7 linked regions of the Canis lupus familiaris genome follow. The protein of the gene in region 1 interacts with the protein of each later gene in a biochemical or structural test. Links are inferred from orthologs where the notes say so. Each region holds a gene or a part of one and is shown on either strand. Other genes may lie near its edges. The genes, in order: DLG1, MTMR1, NET1, RALBP1, SLC16A3, CRIPT and ATP2B4.

What was found.
Region 2: the proteins of DLG1 (region 1) and MTMR1 interact in a test that uses a peptide from one of them, tested with the Homo sapiens proteins (2 studies listed by IntAct, with this or other methods). The link is inferred for Canis lupus familiaris from reciprocal best matches to the Homo sapiens genes DLG1 and MTMR1.
Region 3: the proteins of DLG1 (region 1) and NET1 form a complex in vitro, tested with the Homo sapiens proteins (3 studies listed by BioGRID and IntAct, with this or other methods). The link is inferred for Canis lupus familiaris from reciprocal best matches to the Homo sapiens genes DLG1 and NET1.
Region 4: the proteins of DLG1 (region 1) and RALBP1 interact in a test that uses a peptide from one of them, tested with the Homo sapiens proteins (2 studies listed by IntAct, with this or other methods). The link is inferred for Canis lupus familiaris from reciprocal best matches to the Homo sapiens genes DLG1 and RALBP1.
Region 5: the proteins of DLG1 (region 1) and SLC16A3 interact in a test that uses a peptide from one of them, tested with the Homo sapiens proteins (2 studies listed by IntAct, with this or other methods). The link is inferred for Canis lupus familiaris from reciprocal best matches to the Homo sapiens genes DLG1 and SLC16A3.
Region 6: the proteins of DLG1 (region 1) and CRIPT form a complex in vitro, tested with the Homo sapiens proteins (3 studies listed by BioGRID and IntAct, with this or other methods). The link is inferred for Canis lupus familiaris from reciprocal best matches to the Homo sapiens genes DLG1 and CRIPT.
Region 7: the proteins of DLG1 (region 1) and ATP2B4 form a complex in vitro, tested with the Homo sapiens proteins (2 studies listed by BioGRID and IntAct, with this or other methods). The link is inferred for Canis lupus familiaris from reciprocal best matches to the Homo sapiens genes DLG1 and ATP2B4.

The regions. Positions count from the first base shown.
Region 1 is NC_049254.1:30,716,752-30,720,401, forward strand, and holds the end of DLG1 (disks large homolog 1), read right to left. Parts: intron 3,340-3,650; coding exon 3,248-3,339; intron 2,369-3,247; coding exon 2,262-2,368; 3' UTR 535-2,261; downstream 1-534. UniProt on the Homo sapiens protein: Essential multidomain scaffolding protein required for normal development. Recruits channels, receptors and signaling molecules to discrete plasma membrane domains in polarized cells.
Region 2 is NC_049260.1:120,240,584-120,245,038, reverse strand, and holds the start of MTMR1 (myotubularin-related protein 1), read right to left. Parts: upstream 3,036-4,455; coding exon 2,875-3,035; intron 1,828-2,874; exon of another isoform or gene 1,717-1,827; intron 1-1,716. UniProt on the Homo sapiens protein: Lipid phosphatase that specifically dephosphorylates the D-3 position of phosphatidylinositol 3-phosphate, generating phosphatidylinositol. Could also dephosphorylate phosphatidylinositol 3,5-bisphosphate to produce phosphatidylinositol 5-phosphate.
Region 3 is NC_049223.1:29,484,468-29,488,278, reverse strand, and holds part of NET1 (neuroepithelial cell-transforming gene 1 protein), read left to right. Parts: intron 1-364; coding exon 365-427; intron 428-697; coding exon 698-794; intron 795-1,173; coding exon 1,174-1,250; intron 1,251-1,918; coding exon 1,919-2,176; intron 2,177-2,608; coding exon 2,609-2,779; intron 2,780-3,811. UniProt on the Homo sapiens protein: Acts as a guanine nucleotide exchange factor (GEF) for RhoA GTPase. May be involved in activation of the SAPK/JNK pathway Stimulates genotoxic stress-induced RHOB activity in breast cancer cells leading to their cell death.
Region 4 is NC_049228.1:75,572,796-75,576,606, reverse strand, and holds part of RALBP1 (ralA-binding protein 1), read right to left. Parts: intron 3,610-3,811; 5' UTR 3,555-3,609; coding exon 3,311-3,554; intron 1,422-3,310; coding exon 963-1,421; intron 1-962. UniProt on the Homo sapiens protein: Multifunctional protein that functions as a downstream effector of RALA and RALB. As a GTPase-activating protein/GAP can inactivate CDC42 and RAC1 by stimulating their GTPase activity.
Region 5 is NC_049230.1:935,577-939,387, forward strand, and holds part of SLC16A3 (monocarboxylate transporter 4), read right to left. Parts: exon of another isoform or gene 3,341-3,811; coding exon of another isoform or gene 3,329-3,340; intron 3,250-3,328; coding exon of another isoform or gene 2,218-3,249; exon of another isoform or gene 1,895-2,217; 5' UTR 1,870-1,894; coding exon 1,647-1,869; exon of another isoform or gene 1,283-1,646; coding exon 1,139-1,282; exon of another isoform or gene 860-1,138; coding exon 101-859; exon of another isoform or gene 1-100. Other genes in the region: uncharacterized protein LOC119876620, read left to right, coding at 2,218-3,249, 3,329-3,340. UniProt on the Homo sapiens protein: Proton-dependent transporter of monocarboxylates such as L-lactate and pyruvate. Plays a predominant role in L-lactate efflux from highly glycolytic cells.
Region 6 is NC_049231.1:49,891,099-49,895,356, reverse strand, and holds the start of CRIPT (cysteine-rich PDZ-binding protein), read right to left. Parts: upstream 2,930-4,258; 5' UTR 2,820-2,929; coding exon 2,804-2,819; intron 1-2,803. UniProt on the Homo sapiens protein: As a component of the minor spliceosome, involved in the splicing of U12-type introns in pre-mRNAs. Involved in the cytoskeletal anchoring of DLG4 in excitatory synapses.
Region 7 is NC_049259.1:1,011,892-1,015,134, reverse strand, and holds part of ATP2B4 (plasma membrane calcium-transporting ATPase 4), read right to left. Parts: intron 2,256-3,243; coding exon 1,944-2,255; 3' UTR 1-1,943. UniProt on the Homo sapiens protein: Calcium/calmodulin-regulated and magnesium-dependent enzyme that catalyzes the hydrolysis of ATP coupled with the transport of calcium out of the cell. By regulating sperm cell calcium homeostasis, may play a role in sperm motility.

The sequences.
Region 1 (3,650 bases):
AACAGATAAATGGAATCACCTGTTATTTTAGAACATGTAACCAGTTAAGTACTTCATTTTTTTTTTTAATTTTTATTTATTTATGATAGTCACAGAGAGAGAGAGAGAGGCAGAGACACAGGCAGAGGGAGAAGCAGGCTCCATGCACCAGGAGCCCGATGTGGGATTCGATCCCGGGTCTCCAGGATCGCGCCCTGGGCCAAAGGCAGGCGCCAAACCGCTGCGCCACCCAGGGATCCCCAGTTAAGTACTTCAAAATGGCTTATGCTGGGGCCTTGCTGTAGAGTGATCTGGGACTCTAGAGATCATTTCATAATAATATTCTTCTCGTTGTTTTATGTTTGGTAACAACCTACTATAGTTATTGTTATAGCCATAGTATGTATTTCAATGTGTTAACATACTCAATTCCAAACCCTACAGAAGAAAATTTGATTATGTTCCCCAATGGCCCGTGATGCTCCAAGATGTTTCAAAAAAGCGTTAGCTTGTAAAATAGTATCTTCTCTCAGAATTCAAGACACATTTAACATATGGATTTTACAATAAAGTTTATTAGCTGTTCTCCTCTTTTTCATAAATGGAATGGATAATGTTGATAATCCTTTACAAACCAGTACTCATTTAAGAAACTCTAATGAGGAGGTTGTCAAAAACACATATTTAATCAACAATTCCAAAAAAGCAAAGGGAAGCCAAACAATATTATTAAAAGACCAGAGAAGATGATTTCTGAAATCGTATCTACCTTTCACGAAAATTTCTTAAAATTCCTCACCATGAAGATCTGTGCAACTCTAGGACAGAGCAGCTACAAGAGGTGAAAGGCGTGCAGTCTGAGGGGAAAACAAACACACATGAGGCTTTTGCTTATTTGCCTATTAGTGAAAGGAGAAATGGAAAGAGAGGCAGAAGACCAAATCCAAATCCAATGACAAGAACAACAGTAATAAAAAAAACCCCAAACAAAACCAGGAACCATTTGAAAATTTTTGTAGAAAAGAGGAGAACACGCCTATACTTCTGTATGTAATCTAATTTCCCTAGAGGTTTCTTTCCACAACCACCATACCCCCATTTTCAGTTCACATGATTAAGGAAGATAAAGTCTAATCAATTAATATTTAATTTAAAAACCAAACAAAAAGTTAAGAGTAGGTGGCAAAAGAAAAAAATATATTTTAAATATATATATATGTTTGTGTGTGTGTGCAACTATGTAAAGAAAATAATTCCCATAGTTACAGAGTTTAGTTAAAGAAAGTTTTATATATATTTATATATATATATATTTTATTATAACAAAATAGGCAGTTACTGTGGGTAAAATATTCATTAAAATCTGATCCCTAAGAATACATTTAAAGTTTTAGACTATGAATTGGACTCCTTTTCCACTGCCATAATGATTACTACATCACCACTGTAATGTCTGTTCTCTCTCTGTATTTATGTCTATGAAATTTTCTCAACCTTGTGTGTAAAAGGTGAGCTCCCCTAGCACCTAAACATGGCCTCAATTCAGAAAATGTGATCATTATGTATGAACTTTTGTAAGACACTATAAATAGTCCTGCACAAGTAGATTAAAAACATTTATAACACTGCTATTCCTAGCAAATGTACTGAGAAAAAAACCCCTCAAACAGTAAGACATGAAGAACTCTTATGAAAAATGAGTATCCCTTGTGAAATTATGAAAGTTAATGCAGAAATTAACTTTGAAATTAAAGAACATTTTCCTTATTTGTCTATAATGAAATATTTGCTTTGATAACACAAGTCAATTGAGAAAAGGACTTGAAAGTTAATATATTGGCCAAACCATGCTATTAAAGTTAAGCGTGCACTGTTGCTCAAAGTTTACTAAATCACTGATTAACACCACTTTTCTTTCATTTATACTGAAATTTGAAAAGAATGTATATAAAGCTTTTCTGAAAAATCTCTTAAAGTTACTTTCCCTTAAACATTAAGGAATTTTACCACAATTTCCCAGTCTCCCCAAATCCTTAATAGCTGGTCAGGCCATTCCATCTTCAGTTCTGAAAAATGGCCACAAACCAATAGTGACATAAAATAATACAGATGCTACAACTTGAAGGAGACGCTAGTTGTCAAAACTAAGCACAACTGTAGATCATGATGAGTGGGATACGATTCAACATGGAAGGAGTATTGCAGACAGACTCCAAAAGGAAAGGGCAAAGAAGTGTCAGAGAAAATGAGATTGTGGAAAAGAGAAACAGAAACATCAGTCCTCATAACTTTTCTTTTGCTGGAACCCAGATGTAAGGACCAGATTGTTCTTCTATGATCTGCTTCACTTGGTTATAAATGTCTTCCAGCGTATCTCCCTGTACAATAGCTGTAATAACAGAAACAAAATTAGAAACCTCCGCTGTCTATCTTTACCATGACAACTACTGGTGGAGTAGAAGCTAAGTCTTAGAACTAGTTACTCATCTAGCAGGAGACTGCTTACATATTGTTTGCTTAGTAATAACCACTCATTTCATTAATTTTCTTATTTGAAAACCACAAGAATTTTTATTTTAAATATTGATTAAAAAGTGAGATTTGGTGATTTTTACTTAGTATTATATATTTGGGAGGTTACACACTAAAGTACCTAGGGGCAAATGGGCATCTGCCTGCCACTTTAAATGTTTCAGAAAAAAATTAAGCGTGGCAAAATGTTAACATTTTGAAAATATGGGTGATAAGTATATGAGAATTGCTGGCACTATTCTTTGAAGGTTCTAGAAGTCTCAATTATTAAAAAAAAAAAAAAGAAAAGAAAAGAAAAAAAAGCACATGGTTTATAACACCATGGCATTTGACGTACTTAGTGTGAACACCTGAAAAATAATTTAAAGGACAAAATGAATGAGAGATTCATTCACTGGGCATTGCTACCCACTTGTTTCTTTTTAAACAAATATCTTAAAACAGATCAAAATGTATAAAGCATAAGGAAAAAGTCAGTTTCACAGGAGAAAGCAAGTCTGATTCTATTTTTCTCCAGTCTAGTAGGTCTTAATCAACCACTTAAGAAACACTAACTTTTAAGATTCCTCATCATCACTGGCTAGGTTAGATGAATTATTCTGAAAACCATAGTATTAATTACATAGTAATTAATTACTGGTAGATGTGGTCATACGTTCAAAGTGCATTTCAATGCGTCAGTTCATATGGCTTCAAATCAAAATCCTGTCAGGGCACTGACACACATGATGCCAACCTGTGAAATGTTCAGTAAATTCTTGTTCCAGTTTCATGGCTCTCTCAAACGTCTTTCTGGCTTGTTCTTCTGTTAGACGCTTATTCATTTCCCTACACAAATAAATTTAGAAATTAGCAATTAATATAATACTTTTTGGAAAGAAGATGACAAAGGAGAAGAGACACATAAAACATAAAATCATGAAAAGTTGAGCTCTGCTGACAATATGTCATTAAAAATTAGATTCAGTCACCAAGTATATAGCTTTAAGCTTGGAATGACAGAGAGTTTCAACACATTTTCTGCATTGGCTCAAAGCAGCTAAAAAACTAAGCATTAATTTGGTATTTTTTACTTTGATGAAAATTTCATATTAAGATATAGCTTAGAGGGGATCCCTGGGTGGCGCAGCGGTTTAGCG
Region 2 (4,455 bases), on another chromosome or scaffold:
GGCTTTTCCATCTTGGCAACACCATTTTCCCACAAGCCCCAAATCTTGGCATCTTGATTCTTCTCTCCCACCCAACAAGCAATGTTCTTCAGCAAACCATATTGGCTCAACCCTGCAGGTTTTTTTCAAATTACATCTATAATCTGACCACTTCTCCCTCCTCTCCTCCAGCTATCTAGGTCAGCATCCTCTCTTACTTGGATGACTGCAATAGTCTCTTACCCGCTAGTCTCTCTGCTTCAATCCCTTCCCCTTTTCCGTCTGTTGTCCACACAGCAACGACAGGTTTACTGAAATCTACACCAGGGTATGGCAGTCCTCTGCTCCAAAAGCCCCAGTAGCTCCCCATGACTCAATCTGCCCCTGTGACCTCTCTCCTAGCTCCCTCCCCTCTAGTCACACTGGTCTCCTTGCTGATCCTTGCACACTTGGTCCACCCCTATCCAGGGTGCACAGGCCTCTGCCGGAATGCTGTCGCCCTCAATATCTGTATGACTGGACCCCTCCCTTCTTTAGGGGCAGTACTCAAATGTCACCTTTCTCAGTCAGACTTTCCCTGACCATCCTCCGTAAAACTCCAATTCACCCCCCAAACTGCAGGCCCCCAACACCTCGTATTCCCCTCCCAACTTAATTTCTCCCCTAGCACCTGTCACTGTCTAACAGAGGATGCAGTTTACTTGGTTTTTGTCCATCCAAAACAAACCAAACATACTCTCCCCAAGGGCAGTGATCTGTGTGTGTTCGTTCCCCGCCAAATCTACAGGCCCCACACGGTGCCTGACACAGAGGCGGCAGTCCTATACAAATGAACGAGTGATTTGCTTTTCCATAACCTATTCAATAAGACTCCTCGCCTCCAGTCCATTCACCACACCCCTGCAGAACAAATGTTCTCAAACATCAAACCCATCCCATCAAGTTCACCTGATGGAAATCCTTTTGTGGTCCCCAAAGCTAGGGTGACCATATCATCTCCCATCCAAACCAAGACACTATTGAAGGAGGGCGCTATTAATAACCGTGCCTGCCCAGCTAGTAAACCGGCACCATCCTGGGCAAAAGAGACTCCCTGGCCCAACTTACTTGCAGCTGTGGGTGATCGTTGAAAGTGCAGAACTCCAGGCCATGGCCCTGAGTTGGACAGACCAGACTTAGGGTGGGACCCAAGAACCTGCATGTGGACCTTGCGCCGGAGGGGATTCCCATGCAGGTCACACACAACCATGCCCTGAGAAGCACGGCACAGAAGATAAAGGCACAAGTCCCTAGGAAAGCACTCAAGCCCCTTCAAGATCTGGCCTCTGCCTTCCCACACATTTTGTGTCCTACCAGTTCCCACATCTAGCATCGCCTGCGTGACTGCACATTCCACTGCCGTGGCCAGAAAGTCCTCCCCGCCCTGTCCCCTGGCTAACTTCTCATTCCTGGCCCTTCAACTCAAATGTCAGCTTCCTCAGCAGGTCTCCTTCCCTTAACCGCCCATAATCCTCAACCCCCTTCCACTGAAAATAAATCAAGCACCCCACCTCTGTGTGCCCACAGTGCAATGAATCGAAAAGGAGTCTGCTGAGGCTTTTTGAAAAATGCTACATTCTGGCCCTCACCCCAAACCTCCTGAATCAGAAGGCTCAGGAACTGGGCCTGGTCACCTGGAGTTCTTAAAAAGCTTTTCAGATGACTCCCACACATACCCCGTCCAGAGTACTTGTTTACCTTCACCCTAGCAGTCAGCAGATTCGATTTAAATTGCTGGTTTGTTTGTATTCTTCCTGAGAAGGTAAGCCTGAGAGCAAAAGCCACCTTGTACTATTCTGTGACTCTCCAAGCCCTCAAACACTGGGGAAATTCTGCAAATGAGGGCATCCTGACTGCTCCAAGTACTATAGTTCTCAGTGACCCTGATTGCTTGGGGGATTAATGTGGAATACTCTGTAATTACAGTGAGGTAGGAACAAAGGGAGTGTTTCTTGTTGTTGCTACACTTTGGGAAACTCCCAAAAGTTCAGCTCTCTGCTATGACTAACACCGGCAAGAATGAGCATCTGAAACTGACCAAGCTGCCTTACGACACTGTTGCCTAAGTGACCTCTCCTGTCAACGAAGTGGCCAAGATGTGGGAAAACTGGATATTCCGGGCCACGGGAAAATCAATCCACTGCTCATCCTTGGAGCCTTAGGGTGGCCCTCCCAGTTGGACCCGGTCGGTCTCTACTTCTGACATAGAGCGGCTCTGCCTAGGAAGCAGTAGTAGGCTTCTGTGTTCAGGAAAACAATGAACCGGCTTCCTTCAAAGTGTGAAAGACTGAAATAAACGATTGTGTGTTCCTGCATCAGGAGCAGTTTGGAAGTTTTCCATCCTTTCAAATCGGGGTAACTTTGCCTCCATCCGCAGCAGCTCCAACACCCACGGGGTTGCGTCCTCCAGTCCTCCACTCCCAACCCCAAAGGCAAAGCCCCCCGCCCCCCCCGCCGCCCCCAGCAGTCCCGGGGGGCGGCGGGATTGTGGTCTTCCAACCCCCGAGAGGGAAGGCCACGCTGAAAGAGCTGAGCCCCGGGTTCAAGTTTCTCCCCACAGGCGCCGCGGCCCCGGTAAGGCCAGCGGGGCGCGTGGCAAGGTGCGGCGGGCAGAAGCGCCGAGAAGATTTGACAGCTGCGGAGCCCCTAGGGGTGCCGGGAGCCCCGGCCGGCAAGGCGGAAGTGGGCCAGGTGCGCGCCCCGGGGGGCGGGGGCAGGGCCCCGGGTCCGGGCCAGGAAGGGGGGCCCGGCAGGGCAGGGAGCGGCGGGGAGGGGGTGCACGGCCACCGCGGCGCGCGGGGCCCGGGGGGGGGGGGGGCGGGGGCGCGGAGGCCGCGGCGGCCGGGGCCCGCTTACCTGTCCAGGGTCTCCACGCTGGGCTGCCGGGAGCCGACGGCGGGGCCTCCGGCGCCTCGAGGGGGCCTCCTGCCGCCCGCCGGCCCGGGGCCCGGGCCCCCGCCGCCCTCGCTGCCCGCCGCCGCCGCCGCCGCCGCCGCCGCCGCCGCCGGCCTGTCCATGGCGCGCCGGGCCCGCCGCCGCGGGCGAGCCGCAGCGAGAGGGGAGCGGCGCCCGGAAGGGCCCGCCGCCGCGCCGCGCCGCCCGCCGGCTCAGGCGGCCGCCGCCATTAGCTGTCACCTGGCGGCCCCGCGCTACCCACAAGGCCGCGCGCGGGGCCGGGGGCGGGGAGCGGCGCGCGGGGCTGGCCGCGCCCCCGCCCGCGGAGCCCCACCTGGGCCCGGCCGCGCGCCCCCGAGCCGGCTGGCGGGGACGCCCCGGGGGCCGCGGGCCGCTCGGCGACACGGCGAGCCGGGACACGACGGCCTTCCCTCCGCTCGGCGTCCGGGGAAGCTCTGACGGGAGGGCAGCCCGGCGAGCGCTCCCCACGCCCTCCGCCCCTCCCCCGAGCCCACCTCCCCGCCATCTGCGGGGCCACCGCGCCCCCCCGCCGCCGCCCTCGGAACTTCCGCCCCCGCTTCGTATTAGCAGTGACAGTCACCTTGCGTTGCCCGGCAGATCCACCAACATCTGGCGACCTAGGCTCAGCCCCTGTCAGCTCGCCCCTGACTTGGTTTGCGGACGGGAGGGCGACCGTGACTCAGCCGTTTGCTGTGATTGCCCCGGGTTTCCCGGGTCGCGGCGGCAGGGGCGGCGACCCTGATAACAAGCACACCTGTACCGGGGACATGCCCGCTCCCGCCCCGGGCCCGTCTGGCCTTCCCGCCTCAGCCACTTCGAAATGAACCTCGAGGGTGAGGACGCGATGCCTGGAGCCCCGCAGCCATCCTGCACCCCAGAGGGCTGGGCCTCGGCTGAAAGGGTGACAGGGCGGGGAGGGTGGCAGGAAGCGCCCGAAGATCTCGAGACCCCCGTGTAGCTCCCACAGGCTCGGCTTTTCCAAAATTATCACATCAGGTGTTTGATCCACGGTTAGACTGTTTCTGTCCACACACGCACATCCCCCATTCGTAAGTTGAAGCCCCAGCAACTGCAGGGCACCCAACCCTCCCTCGATGGCATGTGGACATGACACCTTGGGAGGTGATTAGATACAAAGATGGGGCCCTGGCATGGTGATATTACTGCTCTTGCACGAAGACACCCCGGAGAGCTTGGCGTCACCCTCTCCCTGAGCAAGCACTGAGCAAAGGCTGTGTGAAGGCCCAGGAGAGACCGCTGTGGGCGAGCCAGGAAGAGGCCTCTCCCAGGAACCAGCCTCAGCCTCGGACCTGCCAGCCTCCAGAACTGTAATGCAAGCAGCCTTGCTGCCCTGAGATTTGTCAGAAACAAAATGACAAGATTTTAAACATAGTTTCAGTACCAGATCCTTCAACGGGGCCCTGCTGGTGAGGGCTGCGGTGGGGGCAAGCCTGCGGGGCTGTGGGAGGATAGGGCTGAGGAGGGCTTCCTAGAGGATGGCACGCAGACCTGAGTCCAAGA
Region 3 (3,811 bases), on another chromosome or scaffold:
CTAAAAAAAAAAGTCCCTATTTTTTAAACATGTTGTGTCTTAAGAATAGCAAACTAATACCTAAGCAAAATCAGCTTGCAGTTTTCTATCTGAGTGGTAATTCATAACACATGCTGAGCAGGAACATTTTGTGATGGGTGGTAGTCATCAAAGTTAACTCTGATGGACCAAAGTTATAAAACATATGGCAACCTCTTGAGATTCCATTCTGAGTTAGAGTTTTCAGACTGTATCATTTTAAAAAGCACTCTGCAAAACATCAGCTAAATAATTAATGACAAATATCAATTGTATATAATTTTCCTTTCTCAAAGGAAGGAATGACCTGTAATGTTTGCTGGATTTTTTTTTTTCCTTTTTTTAGGCAATATATGAAATGTCCCGAGGTGAACAGGATTTAATTGAGGATCTCAAGCTTGCAAGAAAGGTCAGTAAATAACTTCTTATCACTTGCTCTAGTTTTAAAAAATTATATTTCACAAATTTTAAACTTTTTATATGACTTGAAAATCTCTTCAAATATGAGTATCAATAAGAGACTTTGAGTATTAACATATAGTTTGGTTTCTTTTATGTGTAACATATAGAATCCACACTAGCTTTTATATAGTTAGTCATGTTTGCGTTCAAGGAAGGTGTCTCATCATGTTTTATTTGCTTGATCTCTTTGGGTGACATATTTTTCCCCCTCTGACAGGCCTACCATGACCCTATGTTAAAGTTGTCTATAATGTCAGAAGAGGAACTCACCCATATATTTGGTGATTTGGACGCTTATATACCTCTCCATGAAGGTGAGATATATGATATTTAATTTCTATTAGTGTCTGAACAGCATTAACACAAAGTTTTTTTTTTTTTAATTTGTGGGGGAGGGTATTTTTTGTTTGTTTTTTAGAGCAAGCAAGGTGGGGTAGAAGGAAGGGAGAGAGAGAGAGAAAGAGAGAGAGACAATTTCAAGCAGGCTCCATGCCCAGCACAGAGCTCGAGGTGGGGCTTGATCTCACAGCCCTGAGATCATGACTGGAGTTGAAATCAAGAGTCAGATGCTCAACCAACTGAGCCACCCAGACACTCCAACACAAGTTCTTTTGAATCTAAACTTCTAATTTAGTGCTGAATTACTTTTTAAGATAAATTTGTTATTGGTATTTCTGCCTTTTTACATTTCAGATTTGTTGGCAAGAATAGGAGAAGCAACCAAACCTGGTGGAACAGTGGAACAAATTGGTCACATTCTTGTGAACTGGGTATGTAGTGAGCTCCTTACACCAGCTCCTTTTTCAGTCTATGCCATACTTGTCATTTGTGGTGAATAGCAGATCTAGTAAATGAATTCTAAAAACAGAGAAACAAGGCATTAAGACAGAACAAAATTATATAGCTGTAAGAAGTTACAGTGTTTACTTAAGAAAATACTTCACGAATGATACAGTTGTATTTGTTTTAAAAATCTCTTTCTCTTGGGACAGAATTCCCACATTGCCTGTTTTGTTCCTTCAGTTAACATTTCGGTCCCTCCTAGATGCTAGGTGCTGTTCCAGGAGGGCTCACTGGGGGTTCAGTAGTGGAAGGTGTCTACATTTATAATCCAGTGAGAAAGGGTGGGTAGTCAAGTACATATGCGATCTTAAGGTTGGTGATGACTGTGGTAGAGAAACACTCAGGTGCCCTGGAAATATAGAAGACTACCATCTAAACTGAGGCTGGGAGAAAGTAGAAGCCATGGGTCTTGGGTTAGATGTAGTCAAAATTACAAAAGGACATTCTGATGTTGGCTCAGATACTACCTTACCCCCATCATCATCTGCAGGGAAACTTTTGCAGCTTATTAAAATTTTCAAGAATTAGCTGCAAGTTTTGTTTTTGTTTTCACAAAAACATGTATCCTACTGTGTTTTCTCTTCGTATTCTTTAGTTGCCAGGCTTGAATGCCTACAAAGGCTACTGTAGTAACCAGCTGGCAGCCAAAGCTCTTCTTGATCAAAAGAAACAGGATCCACGCGTCCAGGACTTCCTCCAACGATGTCTTGAATCTCCCTTCAGTCGAAAACTAGATCTTTGGAGCTTTCTAGATATTCCTCGAAGTCGCCTGGTCAAATACCCTCTACTGTTGAAAGAAATTCTTAGACACACTCCAAAAGACCACCCTGATGTTCAGCCTTTGGAGGAAGCTGTAAGTCTAGTAAATGATTCTTAGATTTTTCAAGTTTATATATTAGCTTGCCTTAGAAATATACACAGTGGTACTCTCAAATCTTATGCGTATTGCAACATAGCAAAATGCTCTGTTCATTACCCAGTACACTTGTGTACTAAGCAGTAAAGAGACGTAATGCGTGTTATATTTATATTTTAATCAGAAGACTAGATTGTAATATCTGACCTCTTCCACCAGCTAGCTGTGTGGCTTTGGGCAAGTCACCCAATTTGGCTGTGGCTGTCTTTTCATCTGTAAATTGAAGAGACTGACTGAATTATCTGATTTCTAGAGAGAGTCCTTTCAAGCTTTAAAATCCTATCACTTTAATATAATGTTTTAGCCCTGTAAGGAAACCATAAAGCTAATATGCTGAAAATGCTTCATTGATTTCTTGATAACTTTTAGATACTGATAATACAAGGAGTTCTCTCTGATATCAACTTGAAGAAAGGTGAATCAGAATGCCAATATTACATTGACAAACTGGAGTATCTAGACGAAAAGCAGAAGGATCCTAGAATTGAAGCAAGCAAAGTACTGCTCTGCCATGGGGAGCTGAAGAATAAAAATGGACATGTGAGTGTATATTTTTTCTCACCAATATGAAATGAGCTATTACTTTCACCTTTCCCCCTTGTTTAATTTTTTCTGCATAAGTTATGAAGCAAGTTTTAAAATAAAATCATCACAGTGAGAAAATTACTAGTTTTTACTTTACATTATTAGCTTTGATGAAGCAAACTTTGGTTTCTGTTGTGACAGAATGACTCAAAGGTCTTGGTTGGAGAACAGTTTGTATATTTTAGTTTAGTTTTTTTTTTTTTTTTCAAAGATTTTATTTATTATCACCAATTCATGAGAGACACAGAGAGAGAGGCAGAGACACAGGCAGAGGCAGAGAGAGAGACAGACAGAAGCACAGGCAGAGGGAGAAATAGGCTCCATGCAGGGAGCCCCTGTGGGACTCAATCCCAGGTCTTCAGAATCAGGTCCAGGGCTGAAGGCGGCAGTAAACCACTGAGCCACCTGGGCTGCCCTATATTTTAGTTTTGAAGCATAAATCAACTTTTTTGGCTAGGGGTTCCTTTCAAAATAAATTAATAGTTTCCTAATTTAAAAAACATGTCTTTCAATTTTTTTTTCAAAGAGTTTATAGTGATAGAAGTAACTTGTAGCACTACTAAACAAATTTCTACAACAGTTTGAATGAAAGCAAACTTATTTTTTAAATATTAATTATACAGGCACCTGGGTGGCTCAGTGGTTGAGTGTCTGCCTTCGGCTCAGGGTGTGATCCCGAGATGGAGTCCCTCATAGGGCTCCTGGCATGGAGCCTGCTTCTCCCTCTGCCTCTCTCTCTCTCTCTCTCTCTGTCTTTCATGAATAAATAAGTAAAATCTTTAAAAATGAATGTTTATTATAAAAGTATTTGCTAGAACTAAATAAATGTAAGCATGGATTTTTTTTTTTTTTTTTAAGATTTATCTATTTATTTGAGAAAGAGACAGAATGCACCTGTTCAAGGGAGGTGCAGAGGCAGAGAGAGAGAGAGAATCTCAAGCAGGTTCCATGCCCAACATGGAGCCCGATGTGGGGCTTGATCTCAGG
Region 4 (3,811 bases), on another chromosome or scaffold:
AAGTAATGGGGCAGCCCTGGTGGCGCAGCGGTTTGGCGCCGCCTGCAGCCTGGGGTGTGATCCTGGAGACCCGGGATCGAGTCCCACATCGGGCTCCCTGCATGGAGCCTGCTTCTCCCTCTGCCTGTGTCTCAGCCTCTCTCTCTCTCTCTCTGTGTCTATGAATAAATAAATAAAATCTTTAAAAAAAAAAAAAAAAAAAAAAAAAATAAAGGAAAGTAATGATTTGGAACACAGATGTTGCACAGGGCAAGACTTCCATACTACACAATAAAAAAGTCCTACTACTTTGCAAGAAATAAAATCTTTTTCCTTTTACATTTTGCTTGATTCTAGACACCCACATGAGATATTCTTGCCAAATATGAAATTTAAATTTTCACACAAAGGGAACATAAATAAATGGAAAATCAATTTCATTAATCTATGTAATAGCTGCACATGGCTGACAAAAGCATTCACATTTGGGCCTAAACATTTAACAAAGAACATTTCATGTCCCTCAGCTTAACTCAGGAAATACGATTATGCTAATAAAAGTGTCTCTGAAGCGTCCTTTACCCAGATATCTCCTCTCCTTCACAACACAGAGCTCTGCTCAGAGAGGAAAGAGGTGAGAAGAATACAGCACAGTCTGAGCACACCAGAGCGAAGGAACACTACTCCTATGCTTTGCTTATACTCAGCCGGGCGGCTGCAAACTATGAAAGACTCATGCATAAAGCCTCCTAATGGAAGGTAGTATCATCAGAAAAAAGCAAACTATCAAAACACACACAAACACATACACACACGCACGCACGCGTGCAGTGAGGGATTTTTGTTCAACTGCAAGGATCAAGGAAATGAATAAGGCTCAGGACCCATGCTACAATTTTCCTCACAAGCTAATCATTTTCCTTTCTTTAAAAAATGAAGGTGAATTTCTTAAAACCCCCAAGAGAAGCACATGTCCTCAATACCTGAAACTCTGTAGATGCCTTCACACTTCATGCCATACTTCTCCACGTAATCTACACACTCACGGAAAACCGCTGGCAGCCGAATGCCATCGTACAGCATGGTCCTCTCAGCTGCATCAGTCAAAGGGACTCCAAAGATGGGTTTGAGGTTCGGAACATCAATCTGAGGCACCTCTGGCTCCTGGATTGGCTTCTTCTTTTTCTTCTTCTCCTTCCACTGTTTAACAACATCAGCTGCTGTCAAGTCTTTTGACTTCTTCTCTTTATGTTTCTCTTCTTTGTGCTTTTCTTCTTTATGTTTTTCCTCTTTGGGTTTCTCTTTAATTTTAAAATCCTTCTCTTTCTTTTTAGAAAAGCTGGGCTTCTTGAAAACATGAATTCCCTTGGACCTCTTCATTTTGGAAGGACTTTCAGCTTCATCTCCAGAGCTGTCTTCCTGAAAGGCAGCATAGCCTTCAGCTGCCAAAGAAACACAGGAAACAGAAGTCATAGATCTGTTAAATGTCAAACCATGCCTAAACTCTCTAAAAACAGGACCAAAAAAACAGCGCTACCTGGCACTGGCTACCTTGCTTTTCATTTTCACTTCATGGTCAATCCCTCCTGGGTACTCCCAGTAAAGGAACAGGTTTCTTCTCAGGTAAAATGAGATGTGGCAGTGACATCTCCTGGCCACAAGAGGGGAAATGCAGAGTGCCAGTTACCATCACAACTGGTTTTAGGTGGAAGTTTGGCAAACCAAATACTATGAATACACAACAAAGGATCTACAGAGAGAGGGCTAAGTAAGAGTCCTATAATATAGAGCGTTCTTTCTGGAAACTGCAGCAGGGACTGAAGCTTCATTTGGGTGGAAGACAGAACCAGGAAATTTCCGAATCTCTGGATGGTGGCCAAATGCACCGGCCCACTTATGCATCATGAGCCTTGGTGTACACATACCGACACTTGTTTTATATCATATTAGAGCTATCCTAGCTTGCTTCTGTTATCTCAAAATATAATTCTCCTATTCTTTTCTTTAGCCAGCTACCTTGCAAGCTATTTCATAACAAAGATTAAAAATATTTCACAAATTACCTTCCATTTAAAATACCACAAACTCCACACTAACCAGAAGGGCAGAAACCTTAAGGGCATTATACCATGATCTAAAACAAATGCGGTTCTCAGACACTGCTGGTGTGAGTGTAAACCACTCTGGAAAATTGTTTTTGCAGGATCTATGAGACTAATGCTAAGATGAGTATGGCCTATAATACAGCAATTCCACATCCAGGCATATACACAACAGAAATATGTATAAACACCTACAATGACACTCACAGAAGCCCTATTCATAACAGTCAAAAATGAAAAACAACCCAAAAGACCAAGAATAGCAAAAAATTCTAGTATATTAATGAAATGAAACAAAATCCAGCAATAAAAATGAACACATTACTGCCACATAGAATAACATGGATGAATCTAATGAATACAACTTTGGGCAAAAGAAACTAGATGCAAAAGGAAATCTGGTATCAGTTAGATAAATTCAAAATCAGGGAGTTTCAAGCTATATTGAAAGCAGTTTACCTTTGGGAAGGGTGGAAGATTCCCTTTGAAGGGATAATGGAAAGGAATTTCTAAGCTGCTGATAATGCTCTATTCCCAGAGGCTTATAATTTAAGGACATACACCCTTTTTGTAATAACTCATTCAAGTTATATACAATTTGTGCATTCTTAGTGCTATGCTTCAAAAAACAAATTAACTTAAAAATACCATAAAACTCCAAATAAAGCAATACTTAAAATAACTCACCTGATCTGCTTTTAACATACTAAGGTGCTATGCTTAAAAAATTCATCTTTCCAAATTAAAAAATAAAAAATATATAAATAAAATAAATTAAATTTAATTTAAAAAAATTCATCTTTCCTACTGAATAGGAACTATAAATAGAATGCATTATAGCATTTGCTTAAGACAAACAAATAACTACTTTTTTTTTTTTACAGTTCCAATAAAGTATAGTACTGCAACTGGCTTACACAACCTAGCCAAGAAAGTAATATTCTATATAAGGGTGAAACTCCAGTATCTACTTTTTATGCATTATTTAAAATAATCAATATAAGAAACTTTCATCATAAAACTTTACCATTTCTGGAAATTTGGTATTTTTATTTGCAAGAGTAAGACCCTAAAATACAGCTCTACTAAACAAAAATTGAGATCCAGAAAAGAACAGACAATGTCAAACAAGAGTCTTTGAACATTGTCTCAGAAAATAGCAGGTGCATGTAATTTGAGTAAAAGTTTATCTGAAATATATCAAAAGCACATATAAAAATGGCACTTACTCCTTTTTTCTTTTTTCTTAAATTTTCCTTTTTTCTTCCCATGGTCTTTCTCATCATCAGATACTATGTCAGGAGGTTCATGGAGGCTGTCATGGGGAGGCGAGGGCTCGCCGGTGCGGTACAATCCAGGAAACTTAGTAGGGCTGATCTCCTCAGAGCTGGGGGTTCGGGTAAGACCACTGCCATGCTCCACCCTGCGGTGTTCACTGGGGCTGCTGGTGGGGGGCAGGAAGCACTCAGTCATTCTGCCTCCCTGATGAGACAGTGAAGAGGGTTTCTCTGTTACCTATCCATTACACCTGCACATAGGAAAAAAAGGTCATCAACACCAGTCAAAATACAAAAGCACCTCCCCACACACAAAACATAGTGAGTACTCTTGCATTTACAAATCAAAAATATTTTTCTTCATGACCCCTCTTTAAAAATATTCATTTTATCATCTCAAGTTATACTCATCACACATTTCAGTTTTCAGAGCTTTCAAAGAAAGCACTAGCA
Region 5 (3,811 bases), on another chromosome or scaffold:
CCTGGAGGCTCCTGACACCTGCTGACTGTGAGCTGGGCCCTCCCAAGGTGGGCCCCCCTCCCCAAGAAGGCTCGCTGCCTGCTGCCCTCCCCCTACTCACCTCCCGATGGCGGCCCAATGAGCACGGCGATGGCCTCCAGCAGCAGCACAAGGCCGATGGCACTCGAGAACTTCTGGGTGCCCACGATCGCCATGAGTACCTCAAACTGCAGGGCCCCCACCATGCCGTAGGAGATGCCGAAGAAGATGCAGAAGACCACCAGGCCTCCGTAGTCGCTGGCTGTGGACCCAGTGAGGTCCGTGAAGCCATTGAAGAACATGGAGAAGCTGAAGAGGTAGACAGAGTAGGGCCGCACCTTTTTAAGGCCCGTGATGAAGCCAGCAGTGGGCCGGGCGAAGATGTCGATGAAGCCCAGCACGGTGAGCAGGAAGGCAGCCTGCGTGTCGGGCACACCCAGGTCCTTGGCGTAGCTCACCACAAACACGGGAGGCACAAAGAGCCCCAGCACCATGATGGAGGCGGCCACTGCGTAGATGAGGAAGCCACGGTCCCTGAAGACGCTCAGGTCCAGCAGCCGCCGGGACGGCCGCTGGGGCACGGGCCCCGACCCGGGCACCGGCGCCTCCAAGGGCCTCATGAGCGCGGCGCACACGCAGCAGTTGAGCAGAAGGCCCCCCAAGATGAGGAAGCCGCCCCGCCAGCCATAGTGGTCCTGCAGCAGCTGCCCCAGTGGGGACAAGGCACACAGGAACACAGGGCTGCCCGCGGCCGCCAGCCCGTTGGCCACGGGGCGCCTCTTGTTAAAGTAGCGGTTGAGCATGATGAGTGACGGCTGGAAGTTGAGTGCCAAGCCCAAGCCTGCGGGAGGGGCGGGCGGGTGAGGCGTCGGCCAGCCCCCAGCCCCTCGTCCCTGTCCCGTTTTCTTCCCTAAACGGTTCTACGTGGGGGTCTCCAGGTGTCCCTATGGGGGGCCCGGTGTGTGTCCAAAGCCCCTGTCAGATGAGGAACAAGGGACAGACCGGCGCGAGGGACAGCCCACGGCCACCTGCTCCTCAGAGGCCCTGCCCGGGCACATTGCCCCAGTACGCCTGAGGGGCCAGCCATGGTCTGCCCCGCTCCCGGCTGGGCCCCACTCACCGGTGATGACCCCTGTGGTGAGGTAGAGCTGGATGATGCTTCTGCAGAAGGACGCGGCCACCATGCCCAGGGACGCCAAGAGGCCACCCATGAGCATGACAGGCCGGCAGCCAAAGCGGTTCACGCACACACTGCAGAGTGGGCCTATGGGGAGGAGTGGGGGTCAGGGTACAGGGCAGGGCCAGCCTCTCCGCACTCACCCAGGGACCTGGCCCCCAGCCCAGCTCAGCAGACACACCAGGCGCTCAGGGTGCAAGTCACACTTAGAGGCCTGCCCGAGCACAGCATGGTTCACAGTGGAATGTCCTAGATGCACGTGGCCTGTGCCCGGTTTGGCCCGATGGGGAGCCACGGCCGCTCCAGGGCTGCACTCCAGGCCCCCCGGAACAGGGGCTGCAGGTACCCGATGCTCCTGCCAGCCCCCCACCCCCAGGCCTTCCTGGAGCTCCTAACCAGAACCGCACTTGGTGACCTCCCGAGGTGACCACCGGACGTGACCACCCCTTACCTGTCCCATACAACATGGCCAGCAGGATGGAAGAGATCCAAGCCGTGTCACTGTAGCCGATACCAAACTCACGCATGAGTTCCTTGAAGAAGACGCTGACCGCCTTGGGGAAGGCGTAGGAGAAGCCCGTGATGACGAAGCAGCCGAAGAGGACGGCCCAGCCCCAGCCGCCGTCAGGGGCCCTGATGCCCGTGGGGCCCTCATCGACCACGGCACCACCCATGGCCAGGAGGGCGGGTCGTGCGTCCCTGAGGAAGGAAGTCAGGCTGACTCAATAGTGTGGCCTTGGCCACCGCGGGGCCACAGCAGGGCCCCCACTGCCCCCCCACCTGAGAGCCCCGCCCCCGGCCCTCACCTGCGCCCCTCACCTGGGCCCGGGGTGGAGGGTCTGGGCGGACCAGCAGCTGCAGCCCTTCCTCCCTGCTTCCCGCTCAGGCCTGGCCTGCTCACACCCAGCTGGCTCTAAAGGGCAGTGGCTTTTTTGGGCTCAGCAAGGTCTCAGGTTACCTCCTGAGGAGGACAGACCCCAGTGGGGACGTCAGCCCAGCCCAGCCTCCTCCCCGCTGACCCCATGTTGGGGAGCAGCCTGTACTTCCCACCCCCTGCGAGCAGGTCCTATGACGGGGCCTGGGGTGGTGTCCCTCCAGACCTCAGCTTGACGTGTCCAGCCGTGCTCGCCCACCCCCAAGGAACAGGGCTCCCGTGGTCACACCGCACCCCGAGTGACAGCCTGAGGATGGGGCGGGGGGGGTGGCGCTCTCCCAGGCTTGGCTGTGCGGGCTGGCAGGCTGGGAAGTGGACAGTCCGTGCCGCAGAGGAGGCCTCTGTGCCCTCTTGCCCCTCGCCGTGCCAGTGCTGGCTCCTCCCACCCACTTATCCTCAGGCCGAGCTCCCACGAGAGCTGGGGGTGGTCTCTGCTGCTCAAGGAAGGGGAGACCCCGGGTGGGCAGGAGGGCTGAGTGAAGGGATAGGTGGGCAGCGCCGCCGCTTCCATGCCGCCCACTGGAGCAGCCCTCTCCGCCTCCGGGCTGCTAAGGCAGCCGTGCCCACTGTCGGCCCGAGACCCTACAGCGGCCCTGGGCCCACTTCCCTCCCAAACCCCCAACTTAGCCCTGTTGAGGCCCAGCAGCTTGGAATGCTGGGACCGGATGTCCAGCCCAAGACCTTCCCCTCCCGTCTTCGCCCCTCAACTCCTCATCCTCACACAGAAGCCCCTCACCCCACAGATCCAGCTGGTGGTCTGGTTCTCCCCACCTCATGGGACAGAGGCTGTTCTCTGTGTGGGCGGGGAGGGGGGCAGCCCCTGGGCTGCTGCCAAGGATCCCTTCTGAGAGAAACAAGCCCCCATGGGGAGCGCTGGCCCACACTGATGCCCAGGAGCGCCCCTGCCAGGTCCCTCACAGCCCCCGTGTCAGGCCTGCCTCCACCCTGTCCCCTTTCAGACACAGTCCTCCTCCTCGACCTTGACCTTGCGGAGCCCCTGGGTGGCGCGTTTGCGTATGTCGGGCCGAGTCGGGGCGTAGCTGGAACCTGGACAGGACTTTGGAGCGAGCACAGGGTCAGCGTGGGGGGGAATGACCCCCTCCCAGCATCGAGGTTGCATGTGAGCCCTGCCCTCTGGGGACCCTGACTTGGCTGCCTGGGGGGCACCTGGACTCCGATTCAAGGGGTGTTGTGTCCAGGCAGGGGAGTGATTTTGAAGACTCTCCGGGTGATCCCAAGCGGCTGCTGCTAAGGAGGAGCGCCGTCTGAGGCCGGGGTCCCCAGGAGCCTGCTGGCTGCCAGGCCGGTGATGAGGCTGACACAGCCCAGTGGAGCAGCACACGGCACCAGCCCCCCTGCACCCCTGCCCCCGGGGAACCCAAGAGAGCGCCCCCCCCAAGGCTCCCTACCCCATGCCCTTTGGCCCCCCCTGGCCCCCCTGGCATCCCTGGAACCTGGGACAGGACTGTGCCGGGATCGTCTGGCCTCACCCCTGGGTCCTCTCCTCCAGGTGCCCCCTCACACCAGCCACGTGCCCGAGGCTGGGACGGGACACTACATGGGGCTGAATCCCGCCCCCAAAACACACTAGGTGGGTACAGCAAGCCACGGTATCCCTTCACCTCACTAGCGCCAAGCTTCAGAGGTCCCCAAGGTACACACAGCGGGGAAACTTAATAAAA
Region 6 (4,258 bases), on another chromosome or scaffold:
CAGTGGCCTTCACATGCATGCAGGACAGTTTAAGGAGAGAAGAGGCAAAAGCAGAGAGAGCACAGTTTGAAGAGAAAGGAGCTGGGAGGGGATCACATTAGTTTAACTCAAGAGTGATGGGGACCTCAGGTAGGTTATTTAAGGGGTAAATGAGAGGCTAGGGAAAATATGAGCTATTGAATGGAAGTAACAATAGCAGGACAGGCAAGTGTTTGGATGCAGGTTGACAAAGGGATACCAGAACGAATGAGCGATGAATAAGGCTTTATGAATGGGTGACTGGGAGGACTGCCATGCCATTAAATGATGGAAGAGAAGTTACAGATTTATAAAGTAGGATGACAAATTCAGTCTTGGAAGTACTATACTACTATGTAACAACCAGATGAAGGGTCCCAGTATTGTCTGGAGAAATTTCTTCTATTGGTCTTGGTATAGAGAGAAGTCGGCTGGAGATGTGGATTAGACATTCACTGGCATGGATAAACTACTTGAAGCCAGATATTTCCAAAACAAAGAGTCAAAAGAAGGGCAGATGTCGATCACTGGGAAATATCTACTTTAAGGGAGAGGGAGAATAAGAAAACTTGGAGATTATAATGGTAAAGAAGAAGAGAAGTAAATTCAAAGAGAATCTAGATCAAGTTTCAAAGTCACAGAGAAGCAGAAAGGGACTGAAAGAAAGGTCTTTGAATTAAGAGTCTATTTTTATTTGGGGAATAAGATGGTACAGAAGGTAGAAAGGTACTAGAGCAAAGAAATAATACAGACTTTCAGAAGTGCAGAGAAGTAAAAAGCAAATGACCTTTATGACATATATCACGTCCCAGAGCCAAACTATGTGTATTTTAACATCACATCCGATCTTGGCTTCTCAAAATTTTTATGTGCCTTAGGAAATTACCTCTCAGAATTTGCCCAGTATCCTCAATTTTCCTGGGAAAAAAGCACTTATGGTGTAAAGAACATCACACAAAACAAGTTAAGCCCGTCAGAATGCCAGGCCTCTAAAGTTAAAATGTACCGAATTAACACAAATTACAAAGAAGGCTAATTTACATGTTTAGGAACTACCCTACATAAGAGAAAAGACATGGAGAAGGTGCATAACCTAAATATATGTAAGACATAGTTACTCAAACAAGCAAAACCAAAAAACCTCATAAGTATTGGATGGAGTAGAGTTAAAAGGACGTCAATGTCAAACAGCTTAATGTACTTTTTGGAGCAATGAAAATATTCTAAAATTGATTGTGGTGATGGTCGCACAACCCTGTGAATACGCTAAAAATAACAGAATGGCACATTTTAAATGGGTGACTTCTACCTATGCCAATTGGTAGAACTGCAATAATTTTTTAAAAGCTTCATGTGAGATGATGATGTAAAGCATAGAAAAATGAAAATATCAGTCCCACTCTACTCCTCATAAAATGGAGCAGAGTTTAATGCTGAGTGCCACATACTGGGAGTTATGATAGGAATAACCAGTTTTTGAGTATACACTAAGGCACTTTTATATCAGGCTTTACCTGCATTATCTAATTCTCACAAAACCCCATAAATTATGTATTATTCTCATTTTTCAGAGGAGAAAACTGGAGCCAAGAAATATTAGGTAATTCACCATGGTTATTCCTTTACATAATGTAAAACCTGTGATTCAAACTCATGGGTGCCTGTGTTTAAAGGTTTATCTACTGGGGGGGAGGGGAGAATATAAACAGAATTGATCAAGTTAATGTTAATCCAGATAAGAGGACTTGAAATCTTGTTAAGAAAAGTCTAGCCTGAGGAAAAAGAGACTTAGGGATATGAGAGCCGTTTTAAAACATATAGACAGTCTGTGACATCAAAGAAATCCTAAGATACTTTCCAGAAACATCAAGGGTTTGCATTAGAATCACTGCCTGGCAACTGTAGGGATGAAGGATCTTTTCTTTTCTTCTTTCTTTCTTTCTTTCTTTCTTTCTTCTTTTTTTCTTTTCTTTTCAGATTTTATTTATTTATTCATGAGAGACACACAGAGAGAGCCGTAGAGACACAGGCAGAGGGAGAAGCAGACTCCATGCGGGGAGCCCGATGTGGGACCCCAGGTCACGCCCCGGGCTGAAGGTGACACTAAACCGCTGGGCCACCCGGGCTGCCCAAGAAGGAACTTTCTAAAAGCCAGTGGCATCTACGCAGACTGTTTTGAAGGTAGTGAGGCTTTCTGAACCCTGCCTCAAGACCTCAGATATTCATGCAAAGAACATTTAAGTCAACATTTAAGGATGCTAACTTCGGGTTGCTCGTTAAAATACAGGATGCCCTGTTCAATTTAAATTTCAAATAAACAATGAATGGTGTTTTAGTATTGTCATGTCCTAAAGGTAAGCCCAAAGCACTTTCAGTACTAAGAAGCTGCGAGCAAAGACAAGTCTCAAATATCGCATGGGATATACTTCTAAAAAAAGTATTCATTTTTAAAATGTCTGCTATATCTGGAAACTCTGGGTGTTGTAAAAATGACTTTTAAGATCCATTCCAATGCTGAGGGTCTGTGAGGCTAAGGAGCCAGTCAAGAGCTGTATGGGATGAAATCCCGGGGTGGGGCTGGGGGAGGCAAAGGAAATAGACAAATCAGTACAAAACTGAGAACACTCCGAATGCAAAACCAATGGGAACGGTGAAAGGGATAAAGGACAAAGGCTGGAATCAGAGACTTGTGGCCGAAAGAAAAGACAAAGAAAAGGCGAAGTCCCCGGAGAACTCCTGCTAGCTTCTCCTGGCCTCCTCCCAAAGAGTCAGCCCCTTAACTCACATTTTTCGCACACCATCCTTCCCCGACGGTTCCCCCGGCCGCAGAAACAGCAGCAGCTCGAGAATGTCAACACAACAGCCGGGGCAGACGTCCCCTTCCGGGTTACGAAAATCCGCTTCCGGCCGCCCCGCCCTCCGCCCCGCCCACCGCCCCGCCCACCCCACACCTGAGAGGCCGTGGGAGGCGGGGCTTCTCCCATTGCCCGCCCCTCCGCTCCTGCAATTGGCTGTGCCGCCTTGGGTCTCCGCCCCACAGGCTTGCGCCTGCGCGTTGGCCAGGGCGGCGAGTCGTACCTGATGGTGGGAGGTGGTAGCTCGCGCTCCTCTTCCGCTGGCGGGAGAGTTAGGTAAGCCCAGCGGCGCCCGCCCGGCACGCGAGCCTCCCGGGGTGCCAGCGGCCCCCACCCACTGCCCACGTGGCCGCGAGCGTCTGTGCCCCCGGCCCGCTGGCGCCCGCCGCCCGCCCGAGGGCCACCCTTCCGGCGTGACCCGGGGGCAGCCCCGATGGACCCGGCCCTCGGATCCGTCCCTGTGTGTGGCGCCCTCCGTTCGTCTCGGTCTCCGCGCCCGTGCCCTTTTGCTTATGCCTCTCAGCGCGGCCCCGCCCCCGTTCACACTGGCGCGGGGTGAGGCTCGGGCAGAGTCCCGAGCGGCCGAGGTTGGCGGGGGGCTGCAGGGGCAGGTGCCGCGGGTTGCGCGGGTAAGCTCCGCAGCCTCCGGGGCGGTGGGCGCGGGCCGGGTCCGACCGCGGGGGCGGGGGCGGGGGCGCGGGCGCTGGCCGCCGGGGTGTGCTCGCCAGGGCCCACCCCCGCGGCTGCTTTCGCGGGGGGGCAGACCTTTGGCCCACCCTCTTCTCCTCGTTCGTTCGTTCATTCATTCAGTAAGCAGTTGGGTGCTGCTCCGTGTATTAGAGCCTCATCTGCCCATATCACTTGGGATTCTGAGAGCGGCCCAGAAACATACCCGAAGGGATAGTCCGCTCAGACGGTGTATTCCGGATCCTGCGCCCCTGCCCCTTGGTCAGCGGATCTGCCAGAGAGGTTTCCTTCCTCCCTTCTTGCTCTTCATCCCCTTCTCGGCCCCTGGAGTGTAGATTTATGTCAAAGAGGCGAGGGTTTGACGTGGCTATAGTGCTTGGGAGCTTGGGACCTTGGACATGTCTCCCAACGTGCCTTAGCCTGTTTCCTTATCAGTAGAATATTTGCCTTGGAAAATTATAATGTGAACTAGATCAGAGCTGTAAAGATAAGGCCTTGACTTGCCCTTTTGTTTTTCTGGAATATTCAACCACAGTGTAACATGGGTAACATGTGGACTGTTACTTTGATATTAGCCAGTACTATGTATAAGCTCTGCGTTAGGTAATTTATAAATAAACATATATGTTATACATACCACGATGTGTATTTTATAGAGAGAAAGAAAGATTTTTCTTCTACTTATGCCCTACTTTTGA
Region 7 (3,243 bases), on another chromosome or scaffold:
TCAAATGTGGCAGATTGTGTAGTGATGGGGATACGTGGGGGGTATTGTTCCTTTGCTCTTCCTACCTCGGACAGCTCAGGTGGAAGGGGTGAGGGAGGAGGGGTCCAGAAGAGAAGGCCAGAGAGCAGAGAGCTTTAGGCCACCTTACTCTCACAAGTGGAAATTTGGCAGTTCATAAGAGCCTGGAGCCCCACCCCCATCTCTCTTGAAAGAGGGAGACAGGCTTCGTTTTTTTCACGGGAATTGGTAGACATGAGCTAACTCACCCTGCACAGAAGAGCTTATGTCAACATCAGCAGGGCATAAACATGGAGCTCCTGCAAATGTGGCTCCACCTTGTCCCATCAAGGAACACTTAAAAAAAATCTCCTAGTGAAGTCCCCAACTCCTGAGAGGCAGGTGGGAAGGGGCTGCTTTGGGCAGTGTTCAGGGAAAGAAGGCACAGGGCTTGACTGGGCAGCAGTCAACCACATTCGGGGGAGGACCTTGAGTGGGACATGTGGAAGAAGGGAAGAGAGGAAGGAGAACTTTTCAGGGTGGGTATTTTGCTCCTTTAAGTCAGCAAAATGTCAGTGGAGTCCACATGGGATGCATATTTTCAAAAGCAGAATATCCAAGAAGGGTTGGGGTGTGTTTAGAGACAGGACGAGTTAGGGGCCATGAGAGAGCAGAATGAGAAAGCTGAGGAGTACATCAAAGCTGGTACTTGGGCACCTAGGCTCAAGGTGTCTGGTTTCTCAGAACCTGCTGTTATGGCCCTTTGGCCTTCCCCAAGGCTTCTCAGTACTCACTCCCCCAACAATCAGGTCCTGTCCTAGAAAAGCCTTGGTGGAGGAAGGCTTTGAAAGCAGTAGTGGTCAACCTAGGGAGAATCGCATAAGAGTTGGCTCTGATGGTATGTCTTGTCCTAGACCTGCCAGCTGCTGGTCCTCAGTATCCAAGTCCAGTTGGGAGGCAGGGCCATTCTCGATCCATTCTTTTGCCACCACTTTAGGAATAGGAGAAAGCTCAGGCTTATGGTAAAAACTATATAGCGAACATATGCAAGCTTCACAGTCAAGGCTGACCTCCCTGGCACTTAGAAAGGACACACACCTGACAAGATGGCAGTTCAGAAGTGGAGGGTAACCTGGCAACAACAGAAACACATTCTTACCAGCTCTCAATTGCTTCAAGAGGATCCCAGTAGCAAAGAAATCTATCTGCCTCTAGGACTAAACCAAGGGTTCCATTAGGGCCAGACGGGAGAATGGCCAAAGTTGATTCAATTCAGCCATGTCCTTTCCACTTTCTTAATCATCACCACTTAAGAAAGAAAAAAGAAAAAGAAAAAGAAAAAGAAAGAGTGAAGGTAGGGAAGACAGTGGTCGTAAAAGACCAAAGAATCTTAGGGAGATTTGACTAGAAGGGCAGAAAGAGCCAGAGGGCTCTAGGTGTAAGTTTTGAAAATGGGAAAGTCATTTAAAAAACAATCACTCTAGAGGCTGATTCTATACATTCCATTCCTACCTCAACATATTTCATTTGGGAACATTCGTCTCTTGGAATCCTCTATTTAGCTTAAACATGGCACAGACTCATAGGGTAAAATCCAGAAGTCAGGAGATGCCGACATACGTATGTATACTGGGGAGAGTCTGGGTTGGGGTAGATGCCAAGAGGACTGTCATCATTTCTTTAAAAATGACAACTGATACACCCAAGGAGTAGATCCTACCATTCATTACCTGCCTGGGGTTTGACTGGGTCCTGCTACAAACCCCAACTCAAGTTTAAGTCGAAATCCTCGTAGGTCTGTGCTCTTGCCTCTTCATGGTCAGGTGGGGGTTCACACATACTTGGGAGCAGCTGACATGACAGTGAAAAGTCCCATCGTTACCTTATAGATGGGGCAGATGAAAAAGGACACGGGGAGAGTGGGGATGGGAGTCAGAGAATGAAGTTCAAACGGATGTCTCCAGGCTGTGTAGAGGGCTGTCTGAGTGGGAGGCAATGATTTGCACTTGGCTGCAGTCCACCGCATTGTTGTTTTTGTTGGCATACGGAGTGACCTCACCATCCAACAGGAGCACCCTAGTCCCAGCCTTAGGAACTTCAAGATTTTCCTCCTCATGCTCATCCAGGAGTGGTGTTCGTGGCACCTCCTCATCTATGGCGAATTCAGGGTGGGTCATGAAGTTGTGGATGGAGTTTTGGTTCTTGGGTTTCTGAATGCTTTCATGGAGGGAACTATGGAACGCTTTCACCACTTTGATCTATACCAGGGGAAGGAAAAGGAGGATGAGAAAACATGAAGGTGGGAATTGGCCAGTAGAACAAAGAACTGGCAGTTTGAGGAGAGAAACAAAACCCCAACTATGAAATACTACTGCTCAACAACCCAAACCAAACACATAAGAAGAGATTATGGAACGCTAGAAACACCAGATTTCAAGCATGGGTGGCGTGGGGTGAGTAATGGCAAACAACTGAATATTTCAAAGCTGCATTAAAAAAAAAGTAGAAAACCCAAAGCAAAGTTAGCATTCCCAAACCATTCTTAAAATGAAACAGAAAACAAGGGTTCATTAGTTCTTTTGGATGGAGGGCAAGGACATTGGAACCAGGTGCAAATTAATAGCCGAACTTAAAAGATGATTCAGACATGTGGCTTTCTGTGTCGAGGCCAAACATTTTGTGAACGTGGAATGGAAAAATTACACATTGAAGTTTAGTTATCTGTTTCAAACCCGTAAAGAGCCAAACGCATACCCATTTGTACATAATATACTTTTGAGTGATAAGTGGCCATGGATACCGTGCAGCAAGGCAGACAAAACACTTGTCATTTGTGTCAGCAGCATGCAAGAAATTAAAACTCTTATACTCTCCAGTTTAATAATTGCTCTTTCAGTCAGGAAACACGTAGATATTTCTATCCCACGACCTCTGCCATGTTCCCTTCCTTCAAAGAAAGCAAAACTCCACCCTTCTGCCCCTCCCCTGGCAGATGGGGCTGAAACACGGGTATCAGAAGATGCCTTCATCCTAACTTTGGAGAGAAGAGCTGGCTCTCAGAGTTCAAATGCATGTCCATGTCTTTGGTGCATGGCACCTGTGCCTGGTCTTGCAGCTTTCTCCAGCTATTTCTAATTGTGAAGAGAGCATGATCTTATGTGGGGAAGGGAAGGGCTGGGACCAGGAGAGAAACCACCCACTCGGAGGCTGTGCTCCAGACAAGTGCCTTTTCTGATGAGGTGGATG